Linked DNA regions of Oreochromis niloticus. The protein of the gene in region 1 interacts with the protein of each later gene in a pairwise test. Links are inferred from orthologs where the notes say so. Each region holds a gene or a part of one and is shown in the gene's direction. Other genes may lie near its edges.

Region 1 (7,286 bases):
AGTTTGTTTTTCTTTTTTAATATAGTGTGCTTTAATATGCCTTAACTCTGATTAGTTTTCATCATTTTCAAATCATAATTAATATCCATGATTTGGAGTTCATCACTTGTTAGGTTTTGATTTTCAATATCTGTCACTTTTAATTTAAGCACACATATGCTACCAGTGACACAACGTAGAAGATAAACATCAAAGTCATGTTTCCTTTCATGAAAATTCAAACAAAAAAAAAAAGATATATATTTCAAAATGGAAAAAGGGGGGAAAGGAACATAGTAAGAATTCCTCCTTAAAATACGCATGGATCAGATCATATGGTCTAGGAATAAGAGGTCCCTTATGAACGATTTTTAAAAAAATTAATTAATTAATTTAAAAAGAAATGCTGCAGTACTGCAAGAGGTGAGCGCCCTCTTCTGGACAGGGCAGAAACTGTAACACCGCCCCTATGTGTGAATGGTTCATCAGAGACTTCCAAAGAGAATTGGTTGCCGTAGCAACAGCAGATCGTAATAGTGCAGCCTCTTGAGTGTGACCCTACACAGATATGTTTAATTGTGTAAGACCTGCTTTCCTCATCCTGAAGAGAGAGAGAGAGGCAGCATAGAAACTATATATTTCATTCTGTGCAAACAACTGTGACCCTGATGAATTTCAAATGTCTTTGCAACATGTGTTGTTTATTTTCTGTTGGGTTCATAAATCTTATGGATTCCTTGGAAGTTGGCAGGTGCTTGGAGAAAGTGAAATCAACATAGCTGAAACCCGAAACTTGATTCACTGAGAAAAATCATCAATTGAAACCATCAAAACTTCACCTGTCGCTTGGTGTCATACATTTTCTGGGTTGTTAAAGTTGATAAAGAAATAAAGAGATTAGTCAGTCTTGCAGACAAGTCTGATATAATATAGATTTTTGTAGAGAAAAAAAATCTACAACAAACAAAAAATTCTGTGGCCCCACACGTCTGTGTGTTTTCCTTGCACACTGAAAATCATCTGCTAGTAGTCAACAATAATGCTGTGGTGATGCTGAATGTGCATAATTACAGTATCATGAAGCCTTTTCTCAACAACTGAGAATGTGTTGACCCAACTCCTGCTCCTAGAAAACACTTTTTTTAATTGTTATTTTATTTTAATTACATTTATATGTTAATGTCGCATAATTTACATTAGCCCGGGGAAACACATCTAATTACATTTTTCTTTCCTGCATCTAGTAATGTATTTTAATAGCTACACACAGGAGGTGGTGGACACAATATTATGAACACCTACTGTGCCGTACAATTAGTTTCACTTTAAGGGGACTCAAGCTTTTCACTTTTTTCCCCAATAATTAATCGGGGATGTGTTTAAATAAAAATATGATACAAGTAGGACCAAATATAGGTGGCATGGTGGTCTGATGGCTAGCACTGTCACCCACACAGCAATTAGGTTCTGGTTTGAATCCAGGTTTGGGCCTTTGTCTGTGAAGTTTGCATCTTCTTCCGGTGTTTGCATGAGCTCCCATAGTCCAAAGACATATTTCGGGTTAGGAGATTCTAAATTGGCTATAGATGTAAAGGGTTAGGGTTGTGAAGATGAACTGTCTGTCTCTGTGTGTTAGTCCTGCAACAGACTGGCAATTTGTGCAGGGTCTCTCAGCCTATGAGGGTTTAATAAATGCTCCAGCCCTGTGGCAACCCTTAATTTGATAAGTGGAAGAAATGGACGAATGGGTCCAAAATACAAGCAACCTGTCACTTAGTTATAGTCTCCTCCTCACAGCCTAATGTATTTCCATGTTTAAACCTTTTAAAAGGCGTCCTTGCTCAGTGTTACATATTTTCAAATAATTACCGTAGATGTATAAAAATGTAAGCGATAAGCCTGAGTTATTCTTATTTTATAGAGATTCAATACCATAATTTCATATTAGTTTTTGATTAGCTTTGTTTGTGTTTGTTTCTCTCCTTGATTATGTCATCGAAGCAAGACTTGCCCTTTAATGAAGAGCAATCTGAGATGTGCTGAGAAGAAGGTAAGAGCCACTTCAAATGTCAACATCTGTGGGTAGAAAACTGAGAAGTAAGTGAATCGAATAAGGAGAAATTGCGTTGCTTTGATTACTGGTAGGAAATTGAGTTATTGCAGCTATGACAAAAGCAATGAAATGAGAACTTGAACAATCAATAGAAAAGACTTGAATAAGAGCTTTTTGTAAGAAATCAGCATGCTGAGGATTTGTGTGAGTTTGGTGGAAATCATGATGTGCCAGTCAGCTTAAAATAACTTCAATATTTGCCCCTTTTTTTCTTTTCTGGTTTGGTTTATTGTTTGTATTTGCAGACCTGACTAATTTAATAATAATAATAATAATAATAATGTATACTTTATTGATCCCCGTGGGGAAATTACTCTCTCTGCATTTAACCCATTCACTCAGTGAAGCAGTGGGCAGCCACTAATGGGGCGCCCGGGAAGCAGTGTGTAGGGACGGTAACTTGCTCAGGGGTACCTCAGGGTAGCTGTCCAGTGGGGGGGCGGCCATGCTACCTACTGAGCTATCCCTGCCCCAATTTTTCACACAGAAAACATTTCAACTGACACTAAAGAGTTTTCATTCATGTCCGCTTAACTGCTCTTTATTATTCCATGAACTTTGAACTGTTTGAACTGTTTTTTGTGGGGGGTTTTGTGGTGGTGGTTTCTTGTTTTTTCTTTACACACATCATTAAAATACTGTAAATGAACTTGTTTGCTTGTATGACAGCTGAGATTCATGTCCGTGTTTTTTGGGTTTGTGTGTGAAATTGAGACATTCAACAATAAAGCATTTTTGTTTTATTGTTTGCTGTGGCCCACTCCTTCACACTGCAGTTACATCAGATTCATCCTCCGTTGTTAAGGACAGGGTTTTGTTGTGTGGTTGGTGAGTTTATGTAACAAATTCAATTTAAAATTCAATTTTGAGTTCCCACAATTAAGTCGCTGCAATAATGAGATTAAACTGATTATTTAGGGACCTGAACAGGTTTGTAAGACTGTGACTCACTGTTTATTCATTTATAATAATGCAAATGCAGAGCAAAGTGCTTTTTTTAGCAACATCGACAAGCCCAGACCATCCAATGCTGTTTAAAGCTCTGCTTTCCTAAATTCTTTTAGAATTTAGTTTACATGAAAGGTTCCAGTTTTGGTTCAATCAAATCTCATGTAAACAGTTAAAACAGATGTTAAACGAGACTGAAAAAGCTACATTTCTTTTCCAAATATTAGAAGACATCAATGAAATAGACTTCTGCATTGTTGGTAGACTTTGGCAAGCAAAAAAGAGAGATATTTATATGTCTTATCCAAGTTATAACAATGCAGAAAACCCTGATAAGATTCAGACTTTGGTCAACCTTTCCTGGAAAGCAAAGATAAAGATTCAGAAATGTCTTTGTGATCTAACTGAGGGCACAAGGGTGTTCTTTCTGATCGATACGCTATTTGCTTCTATGTTGATTTAGCATGCACTGTTAGAGCCACAGCCTGCTCTGCAGATATGGGGCATTAGATAGTACTAGATGAAGAATAAAAGAAGATTAGTGGAGCACTTTCAAATGTATTTTTTTAACCTGTATAAAAAAGTCTAGAGAGACCCAAAGCCATTACAGTGTGTAATTATAGTTTATAATTATTATTGGAAAATGTGTTTTCACAAGCATCTGAGCAATTAAATACTAAAACTCCCATGTAGAGATAACAAGGTTGAAAATCAACATGATAGTAGACTATCCACCTTAATTAAAAGATATTTTTATTATAGGTCAATCCAGTTTTACTCTTTATAATTGATTAACCATTTCTATTATTTAGGTATTTTTGCAGCTATTTTCCATTTGAAGTACATTAGGATTTGACAAAAATACATTTGATGCCTTACTTGAATTTTGTGTTTGCCTAAAAACCGCTTTTCTCACATTATATGCTTACATTGTCGGATCTATTTTGAGGGCCATTCCTGCGCTGTCCATTACCTGCGGTGCTGAAACTGATGAATTAACCTGGTGTGTCTTTTTCTAATGTGAGCAGCAAACTAATTTGATTACGCTAAATACGATGTTTCCCCAAATAAAAAGTCATATAAATTAATATCGGCATCAGATAAGCAGACCGGGCCATCTAGTTGGAGCCTAACGTGCCAGTTCCCTTTACCGGCTCACTCCAGTCAGAGCGTGGTGCTGCGTTTCCCCCCACGCTTCGTTGCCCTAATTCTTCAACCCCTGATAGGTAAATTTCTTACGCTCGCCAAGCTATTAATGGTTAAACTACGTCGTGGGCGTAGCGGCTCCTTGTAATGGCGACCGTGCCGTAGATGTTCCCAGGTTTGTGAAAATGAAGCGAAGAAGAAGTTATTTCTTTTAAGTAAAACGCCGAGGTTCCCCGCAGGAGGACTTTGCGTCTACAACCATCGTCTTTATAAGTGGCAAACATAGCTGTACTTTTGAACTTTTACGCTCCCGAAATGATGAAGCTCAAGTCAAACCAAACCCGGACGTACGACGGGGATGGCTACAAGAAGCGGGCCGCTTGCCTGTGCTTCAGGAGCGAGAGCGAGGAGGAGGTGAGTTCGGTGATGTGAACTGTCTGGCGGGCCAAGCTAATATTAGCATCCGTAGGTTTTATCCAGCCTTTTCTGTTGTATGTAGATCGACACGTTTATCAACACGGCTTTGGTTTTATCCCAGCTGGAAAAGGATTTCTTTTATTCTCGTGTCGACTCCCGACGTTATGATTATTCACTATTTTTCAGCTGGTACTTACCCGAGTGTTATGTAAGCCTCTTTAGCAGTGCAGATAGCAGCCTCGGTTATGATCAGACTTACTAGCTCCGCGCTAATGCTAACGTTAGCTTGCTAACTACCCGGGTTGCTGCCGTGGGCAGCCGGCTATCGGCCAGGAACCACAGCCCACAGTACAGGCTGTGGTGAGTGCTGACTCTATTACTACCAGCTGTCGGATGGACAGAGAATATTTAGTATTTAAAGCGACAGCTAAGATATGTATCTGCTCGCGTTACAGATAGTTTGGCGAGCTAAGTGTATTGTGTTAATGCAACTAGCCAAACATTGTACTGCTATGTAGCTAGTAGCTATCCTAGTTTAAGCCAGAAGATGACTCTGGCAGTGATAGCCGGCTTGCTTGTATCACTTGTGTATTTTGATTAGTTTGTTTGCGAAATTGACACTGTTGATATTTGGAGCACCAGCTTAATGGGAGCGTCGAGCCCCGTGTGCACATTTTACAACATCGCTTATTAATGTTGCTATTTGTGTATTTATCGCTCCTATCTAGCCGTATCAGAAAAAGCGAAAACGTGTTGTGGATTACTTGAGCTCAGTCACGATTTAGGACGCTCACGTACAGTCAAAAGGAGACACAAAGATGCCTTTGTACTTAAAACATTTTACTAGGGGAGGAGATGGGACCAAACCAATTCCCCATTTTGCTTAAAGTAAAGGCCAGACTGTGTAGACACGGGTTGTTGATTACAGGAAACGTATCAGCATTACCAGCACCAAAGTGGAAACTTTTACCTAAGACTGTAGTTTATCTGACTGACACCTAGGCGTTCCACAGTTCATCTCCACTAAGAACCCAACATCTAAACTAGTTCACTAGCTATGATTTATTGACAGTAATAAAAGTACTAGTTATTTTAAACCCAATGGGTTATCATTTCCATTTTTCTTGAAGTTGTATTTTTCGATGTCCCAGTTGATATTATGTGAACAGTAACTCAGAGTTGGACTGTCATACCTGACCAGTATTATATGGGGTGTTTTGCAGGTGCTACTGGTGAGCAGTAGTCGACATCCTGACAAGTGGATAGTTCCTGGAGGGGGAATGGAGCCCGAAGAGGAGCCCAATGTTGCAGCAGCTCGAGAAGTGTGTGAAGAGGTCAGTTGTGTCACTCAATATTGTTATATCTTATTTAAGCCTGTAGCATGATGGCCTTTTCTCTTTGGTTTTCCAAGTGACAGATGTTGTCTCTATGTACACTGCGTACTGGGAACCTTAACATGATCTTTTTCAGAAATGTCAGTAGCTGGAAATATAATTCTCAGAAAGTGTGGCAAATTTGTTTGACTATAGACTCATAAGATGTATTGTATTACAATTCTGTTAACTCGTGTCTGTATTTAACACTGAGCCTGATACCTTGTTCTCAAAATCCATTTTGTCAATGTAGTCATCCTGTTTGCATGGACTGTAAGAGAGAGAGAGCCTAGCAACATGTAAGCTGTATCATAGCATCATGTTACAAAGCAGTCTTTAGGTGTCAAAGGAGGTCACACAGAGATTGAACACTGGCTGCACAGTAGTTTGACTGCAGTACAGTCAAGTCACACAAACGCAGAAAATGACAACAATTGAGTTTTATTGTTTGTACGTTTTCTCGTAGCTATATATATTAGTATACAGTAGTGGTCACATTACAAGGGCAGCTTGGAGGACACAACATGTTGTTTTTGTTGTTCTGTATTGGGGTGGATGGGTAGTAATTAGTAAACGGTTCTGAAGCTAATTGGAAATCAATATTCTACTTATACTGCTTACGCCTGTTTGTTAAATCAGGTATTCTTCCACTCTGCATGCTGTTCATCCTTTGGATATTTTGATCAGAACGGACACAGGGCACATAAGACACTGAATCTCACCCGGCAGTTGGCTCCTAGTGGGCCGCTGACCTTATAAAGCCTATCCTCTCTGTGTGATCCATCACACTGATGGATGCTGATATCATCCCTTATCCTGGCTCCTGCTGATTGGTAGCTTTGGTGGTTGCAGGACACTGAGGCCTGCCAGCAAATTTCCACAGGGTCAAAAGCAATGTCACATCACTGCTCAGGCTCCTTATGTGCTAAAAGGCAACATTCAGAAACTTTGTGCTGCTTGACACATCACCAACTACATTGGCTTTCTAAGCCTCTTATTGGACGATGGTGTAACAGGACATATCCTAATCCTGGTGAGCCTGTTCTGATTACCATATGAGTGATTGCTTATGCTTATTGGTTTGGAGTCTCTCCAGGGATGAGAGTGAAGACAAGGCATGCAGTAGCAAGCCAAAATTTACAGAGGGTTTCTTTGTTAGACTGTTCACTATCTTTGCTTATCCTTGTATTATGGAGATGCACCCTGACCCTGCAACCTGAAGACGCATTGCATAACTGGTAACGAAGTCTCAGCTGTACATCCTCTTCCCAAGTGTTGAAGTGTTGCCCAGTAGTCTTGTGTTACATGAA
Region 2 (7,433 bases), on another chromosome or scaffold:
GAATGTTCATGGACTTCTTTCATGTTAACAGGCATTCAATACCTTCATCGATGACGTGTTTGCCTTCATCATCACCATGCCAACGTCTCACAGACTGGCCTGTTTCAGAGATGATGTGGTGTTTCTCATCTACCTTTACCAGAGATGGTATATACACACGACATTACACGTAGCACATTTGTTAAAAACATGCACATTTTTTCAGAGTTAAAACTCTCCGTTTCCTTCACCAGGCTCTACCCAGTGGACAAAACAAGAGTAAATGAATATGGAGTGTCGTACGATGAAAACCCCAAAGAGAAGAGTCACTAGACTCGGAGGAATTTGCTTTCATGATCTGGAATCTGTGGGTATTTGTCTTATTTCCACTGGTGTCCACTCATCTTTATCAACTGGACTGAGTTTAATGGTCAGGGGGAAATGTTTGTTGTATATGTTCCAGGTGCATAAATGTGCTCACGGTTCTGACTTTTTCCACCCTGTTAAAAGAGCAACATCATCTTCTGCTTCGTCTGACAGTCTGACGAAGCCTTCTTGTTTTGTTTTTTTTTTGGGGGGGGGGGGGGGGGGGGGATTTTTTTTTTTTTTTACAGTGTGTGTGATGGGACACAGTGACGAGCTACATCTCTGGCCCTTTCAGACTGACATAACAGCCTGCAAATATACACTTACAATGTAATTGGTGTGAACTGCTTGCAATCGTTTTTTTTATTTTTCATGTTTTTTCCAGAGATTTAAATGCACAAAGGAATCTTTATAATTCTTAACAATGCTACGCTCGTGTTTTGAAAAAGTTGATTCAGCCTGCTCTGACAGCTGGCAGATGTAGTTTATCTACGAGCTGCAGAGAAAGAGCTGCTTTGCTCATCTGAGAGCTTTATTCACTAAGAAGACCTTATCCAGTGGCTTGTTGTATACCTACCAGATAAGACAGCCTTCAAGTAAAATCAAGATAGCTGTGTGACGGCAGGGATACAAAGACTGTGCTGTGACAAAAAAGGGGGGAGTGTGGCAAAGGTGAAGCATTCTAACTGATGTTTCAGGCAGCTCAATAATATTGTTCCAGACAGTCTCAGAAAAATCAGGCTGTAGTCATAATTGCAGCTTTTGTGCTTAAGTGGCCACTATTTCTAAATTGGTAGCTGGTGTTTATGGTAATTGGAATAAAATATGAAAGCTGCAATAAGCAAAGGTAAGCCATACAGAAACTAAAAAGGATGTATTGTTAGCTCTTTTGAATATGTAAATTATCAGAAATTATGTTCATTCTTTTTAAGCATTTCTCAATAACTTGGCAATCTGGCTCTTAAAAAAAAAAAAAATTGTACAAAATTATATCCAAAATGATCACGTGCATACAGTTGACATTTGTTAGTTCTGTGACAAAGAACGGTCATGTTTAACGCTACAGTCACACTAGGGAAAACAGTAGTTGGAGGCCACGGCACGACCAAAACCATTCTGCCTGTGTGCTATAAACTTGTAAGTCAAAGTGACTTTAGTGCAAGACGGCGATGAAATGGCAGTAAGGACAATAAGTCAGTCTGCTATCAGTTTGCAACTGAATAGGATCCAGTTGGCAATTACATGCAATCTGCTTGTGAGGAGATGTGGGCAAAAACTACAAATCTGTTGACATGTGTTATAAATCTGTTGCTGTCTACACAAACACAAATTCACATTAAACCCTAGCCGAGTCCGGCAAGTGTTTCCATAGATTTAAAATAGGAATTCCTCCACGAATAGTGATGTAGTTGATGTAAAGTATTTACATTTTTGTTGTCTTTTTTTTCCTCCTAGTTACAAGGAAGTCACTGTCCTGCTTTTGCTCTAGTGTGACTGAGTTGTAAAGAGAACCTGTTATGCTCGTTTTTTATTACGCACTCTGTTATGATGTAAATGTTCATAATAAGAGATAATTAGACAAACACATTTGAATGTAATCTCTAAATGGGAGAAACGAAACACCAAAAGCAAAACAAAACGGTTTACAGTACTTTGTTCTACTTCCTTATTAATATGATGATATCAGCTTATCAAGGAGATATGCAGACCTATATACATAAATTGACGGTGATTAAGTTTGCTTCCAGTAGCTTACTTTTGCTTCCGCAAAGCAAACAAAGTTGCCAAAAAAATAAAAAAATAAAATAAAACGGTATGCATGACAGAGAGGCCAGCCTTAAAGAGAGAGCAGCTTAAATAGCTTATTTCGCACAATGTAAAATTTCATATCGACATAATGAGTATGCTTTTAAAGTGAGAATAAACTGTAACATTTGGGGGCAAAATCAAAGAAAATGGGATTTAAAACGTAAACGTTTAGAAATCCAAATTTGAAAAGTGATGCACTTGAATGCATCACTTTTCAGTTCTGCTAAGAAGCACGGATTGTTACACAATTCTGTTTATTTGCCAGTAGATGGCAGGAGAATTTCACTAGAGGCAGAGGAGAAAGTTGTGATCTGTTGCCATGGAGAGAAGATTAATTGCCCGAGACATTCCAGAATCTTAAGCTTGAAAGTTCCAGAATCTGTGAAGTTGCATTCTGTCTGTTTTGTGTCTCTATAAAATGGTACTGACAGTTTCATTGTACCACACTCTGTATCACTGACAGTCCTACTGTCTTTTCCATCCATTTTTTTTCTTCTTCCTTTTTTTTTCTTCTTTTTTTTACATAACTGGGCCAAGAAAATCTGCTAGTGCCAAATGTGAGAATGAATAATGTTACCATTGTACGTTCACAATAGATGGTACATCGGATCTTTTGAATAAACACTGACATTGTGAGAGAGATGATGACGGAAATGTTTAAACAAAGTATTATTACACTGGGTTTATGCAGTCAAAATTTGATTTATTTGCCATAGTTTGGGGGTTTTTTAAGACTTTAATTGAAATAATGTACTTAATTTTCAGATATCATGATATATTAGGTCTGTATACAAAGGTTCTGCACAGGATTTATGTTCCTTAATAATAGAGTTGGCAGAGATTTGCCTTTAAATTGTTTTAGTTATTGTAATGTTTGTGTTTTTGATTGAGATGAAATTAAAAAATAACTGACAAAATGTTACGTGTATTTGGCATGTTACTATTGCTGGGGTCAACTGTTCAGTGGAAATCTTAGAAATGTTGCTCAGAGATAACCTGAGTAATGCAGAGATGATTTCATTTGTTAAGGGAAAAAGCTAGCGAAACCTACATGGCGCGATGTGAAAAAGTAATTCCCCACACACACACACACACACACACACACACACACACACACACACACACACACACACACACACACACACACACACACTTGTTAAATCGTGCAATGACTTTGGTTAGATAACCGAGGCCTAATTACTACCAGATCTGTTGGATCAAGAAATGACTTGAACAGAATCTGTCTGACAGTGACGTAGGCATTAAATCATGTCACGATCTAAAGAAACTCAAGAACAGCAGAGAACAAAAGTTGGACATCAGTCTTACTAAGCCATTTCTAAAGCTTTGGGACTCCAGTGTACCACACTGAGAGCTTTTATCCACAAATGGAGGAAACTTGGAACAGTGGTGAACCCTCCCAGCAGTGGCCGTCCTACCAAAATGACTTAAAGATCACATCCAGAGAGAAAAAAAACCTAATGAACTGCTGGCCTCACTTGCACAATTAAGGTCAGAGTTCATAATTCAACAGTAACAAAAGAGACTTGGCAAAAATGGCATCCATGAGGGGGTTCCAAGGTACAAACCACTGTTGATGAAAAAAGAACAGAGTATCATTCACATTTGGCAAAAAAACATCTTGATGATTCTAAGATCTTGGGGAAAATATTCTGTAGACTGATATGAGAAGTCTTTGTGGAAGCTTTCAGAACCACTACACCTGTCATAAAACTAACACAGCTTTTCTGAAAAATGGCATACCAGTCGTGAAACATGTTAGTGGTAGTATGATGATCTGGGGCTGCTTTGTTGCTTCAGGACCAGGACAACTTGCTGTAATTGATGCAAAATGTCCAGCCATTGATTCATGGCCTAAAGCTCACTCACACACACACACACACACCAAGATGATTATCCAAAACACAACAGCAAGTTCACTTCTGAAAAAACAAGCAGTCTAGTCAAACGTCCAGACATAAATACAACAAGGGGGATGCTTTGGCATGACCTTAAACAGGCCATTCATGCTTGAAAAACATGTCATATTCAAAACTAGGGTGGCACTGGGGGATGACAGGAGATTATTTTAGAGTGGCACATGCCACCCCATGCCCCCCCCCCCCCGTGGATCTCCCCCTGCTTAAATCAGTCATATGACTTGGATGTGCCATCGACCCCAGAGGTTTAATAACACTCACCTTCATTCCAGACTCTCACAATCAACCACCTGTGATGAAATCTGAAATACCCATGGTGTTGATTCAACATGTGCTCTGGCACAACTATAGGGTGGCACTAGAGGTTGCAGGAGATTATTTTAGGGTGGCACATGCCACCCCATGCCACCCATGATCTAACAATCCCAGATCATGGGTGGCATTGAATATTTGTCACCCATGCATGTGACAAATATTCCAAAAACTAAATCACTCACACACTGATGTTTCATCTTATGTAGACTGGTAGGAATATACCAGGACTAGATACAAGATATTTTTTGAACTGTTTTATGTATAATATTTACCAGCGATGTATTACCATTCTAAAAAGAAAATAAACTCCTCTGAGCATAAAGCTATCGTACGTTTTGTGCGTCGTGACGTCAGAACCACGCTCCCTGACGCAGAGTATATCTACTAAACTCCCGCCTTCGTCCCTCCCTTTTCTGCTATAGAAATTTAACGTGCCTGAGGTGTTTGGTTCTTCACGAGAAGCTAAGGCCCGCAATCCGGCGACTAGCACCGTCAATTTTAGGCATCTGACCCTACGAACATTAAATCTAACATCTACAATGGCCTCCGTATCCGAGCTCGCCTGTATTTACTCCGCTCTGATCCTCCACGACGATGAAGTTACCGTCACCGTAAGTGTACTAGGTCCTAGGTTACCCCGGATATTTCAGCCAATATGTCTGAGTTGGGCGTTCTTGAACATTTTTTTGTTGGGCTAAAAAGCCTAAAATACTAAAAACGTGACATTAAAAGCTACAGATAGATAAACCAGTATGTTAATATATCAGGTAAACGCCAGTTATGTCCGTGTACCGGCTAAAATGGCGTCATGCTAGTTGCTATTCCTAGGCCACGTTTTTCTAGCTGGACAGCTCAGTCTTGTGTTCTTACTCTGAATGCTGATGTTTGACCTGTACAGCACGTGTGTGTTTGTTTTAACCGTCAGTGTAGCCTTAAACATCTCTGCTGACAGGTCTGGATGTGGTGTTCACTGACAGACTGTGTGGTCAGACTCAACAAGAGCACAACATACCTTTATTTTTTTTAGTGTTGGCATCACCGATCAAAGTTGTTTTTGTTAGAGCTTGTTGCATTGAAACACCTAAAGGATAGCAAACCTGATTCGGCATCCCTTCTTGTTACTTGCCACTTGTTATACTTACTGTTAGTCTGTTAACTGGTAATCCATGTTGAAGTGTTGCGTGGTGTCCTCAAATATATTTAGTTCCCTAAGATTTTGATTATTTCACGCACATTGTCTTTACCTGAGAAAGTGGAATGAGGACATGTGTCACAGATAATTTTTAATTATATTTTTTCTCACTGAAAGTGTTTGCTTCAACACATTGTAGACCATCAGTTTCCGTGTCATCGCTCATATTTTAGCAAAAAGTGTTCCCAAAAGTGGTCAGTATGTGAAGTAGAGTTAAATAACGGTGGCTGTTATGTTATTTATTTGTTTGTCCACAGGAGGACAAGCTGAATGCCCTGATCAAGGCTGCTGGAGTCACTGTGGAGCCTTTCTGGCCAAGTCTGTTCGCCAAGGTGAGAGAACACACTTCTGAAATCATATCACCGAATAGATCTGAAGATCTGACAGTTTTTATGTATCCCAATAACTCTTATAAACAATACAAATGTAAGTGGCTGTAAAGGAGACTTACTGATTGTGTGTGCTGTAGTGAAACAGACCTGTTCATTGCTTTCTGTGTGATTTAATGGTCTGTATTTACATTCAAATTTCTTTTTAAAAAAGTTATGTCAGGCTGAAAGCATTAATATTGTTCCTGTTGTTGCCAGTATGAGCAAACACATGAATTTGGAATAAATGTCTTGATGCAACAGTGCTGCCACTTAGAGAAAGTGGAATGAATGAGCAGGACACAAATTACTAAAATTTAAAAAAAAGAAAAAACATACTACACTTGCTGTAAAGAGTCTTTAGGCATGGTAGGTAGGAGTTATGCTTGATGTCTTGCCTTTTTAAATACATCGATCTCTGTAACACCCGCTGGACATGTGAATAAAGTGACGTAACCTGTGAATTTTCTTTGCGTAGGCTCTGTCCAGCATCGACATCGGCAGTCTGATCTGCAATGTTGGAGCCGGCGGTGGAGCCCCCGCTGGAGTCGCTGCTGCTGCTGGTGGTACTACCGCTGCTGGTGACGCCCCAGGTAACTAAACAAAGCATTTCCCAGCGCTACATTTGTAGTTACATAACAGTAATATGAATGCATTCTCGGGCTATACCACTTTAGTTTCTCCTTCAAGTTCAGATTTCATGTACCTCAGAAATCAAATTGACTTTTTTCTTTTCTTCTGAATTTAGTTTGTGTAGTCATCTTTGACTTATAACTACGTCTTGTTTTCCCTCTACAGCCAAGGAGGAGGAGAAGAAGGAGGAGAAGAAGGAAGAGTCCGAGGAGTCAGACGACGACATGGGCTTTGGTCTCTTTGACTAAAACAGCTGTTTTTTATATAAAAACACAATAAAAGTATAAAAAATGACTCGTCTTTTGTTTTTGTTTGTTTTTTATGTACAGTAATTCTGCACTTACAATTTAAATCTGCATCATTTGTCAGCACATTAACCTAAATTGACATTTTAGGCAGTAGATTTGTAGTGACTTCACTTCCCTGGACATGAGAGAAATTATATTTTAGCACATTCAGCTTAGGCGTTGAACCTAATGCCATGGCAAGCTGTGTGCTGATAATTCACAAAAAACTGCAACTACCGAACTCTTGTTCAGAGTTTGGTAAAAGCTGAATACAATGATCATCCAAATTATACTCAAGATTCGACTTTTCTCAATTACTTTCAATTCTCATTTTGAAAGTAGACACTCATTTGAAAGTACAGCCATGTGATAAAATATGTTTCTGCATAGTGCGATGATCTGGAGTAAACTTTTAGGACATGGGCAGCAGCTTGTCTTGAAAATACAGTTTGATAACTTGGGTTAATGTAGATTTATTACTGATCAATGGTCACCTTAAGTCAGAACTTTAGACTGTGGAGATGGCTTTTAATACAATTTAGAA

Evidence for each region.
Region 2: the proteins of nudt3b (region 1) and rplp1 interact in a two-hybrid assay, tested with the Homo sapiens proteins (2 studies listed by BioGRID and IntAct). The link is inferred for Oreochromis niloticus from reciprocal best matches to the Homo sapiens genes NUDT3 and RPLP1.

What each region holds. Positions count from the first base shown.
Region 1 is NC_031970.2:9,791,263-9,798,548, forward strand, and holds the start of nudt3b (diphosphoinositol polyphosphate phosphohydrolase 1), read left to right. Parts: upstream 1-4,218; 5' UTR 4,219-4,501; coding exon 4,502-4,600; intron 4,601-5,826; coding exon 5,827-5,937; intron 5,938-7,286. UniProt on the Homo sapiens protein: Cleaves a beta-phosphate from the diphosphate groups in PP-InsP5 (diphosphoinositol pentakisphosphate) and [PP]2-InsP4 (bisdiphosphoinositol tetrakisphosphate), suggesting that it may play a role in signal transduction.
Region 2 is NC_031985.2:18,528,134-18,535,566, reverse strand, and holds rplp1 (large ribosomal subunit protein P1), read left to right. Parts: upstream 1-4,800; 5' UTR 4,801-4,948; coding exon 4,949-5,020; intron 5,021-5,858; coding exon 5,859-5,933; intron 5,934-6,447; coding exon 6,448-6,562; intron 6,563-6,767; coding exon 6,768-6,850; 3' UTR 6,851-6,896; downstream 6,897-7,433. Other genes in the region: lipid scramblase CLPTM1L, read left to right, coding at 32-147, 234-312. UniProt on the Homo sapiens protein: Plays an important role in the elongation step of protein synthesis.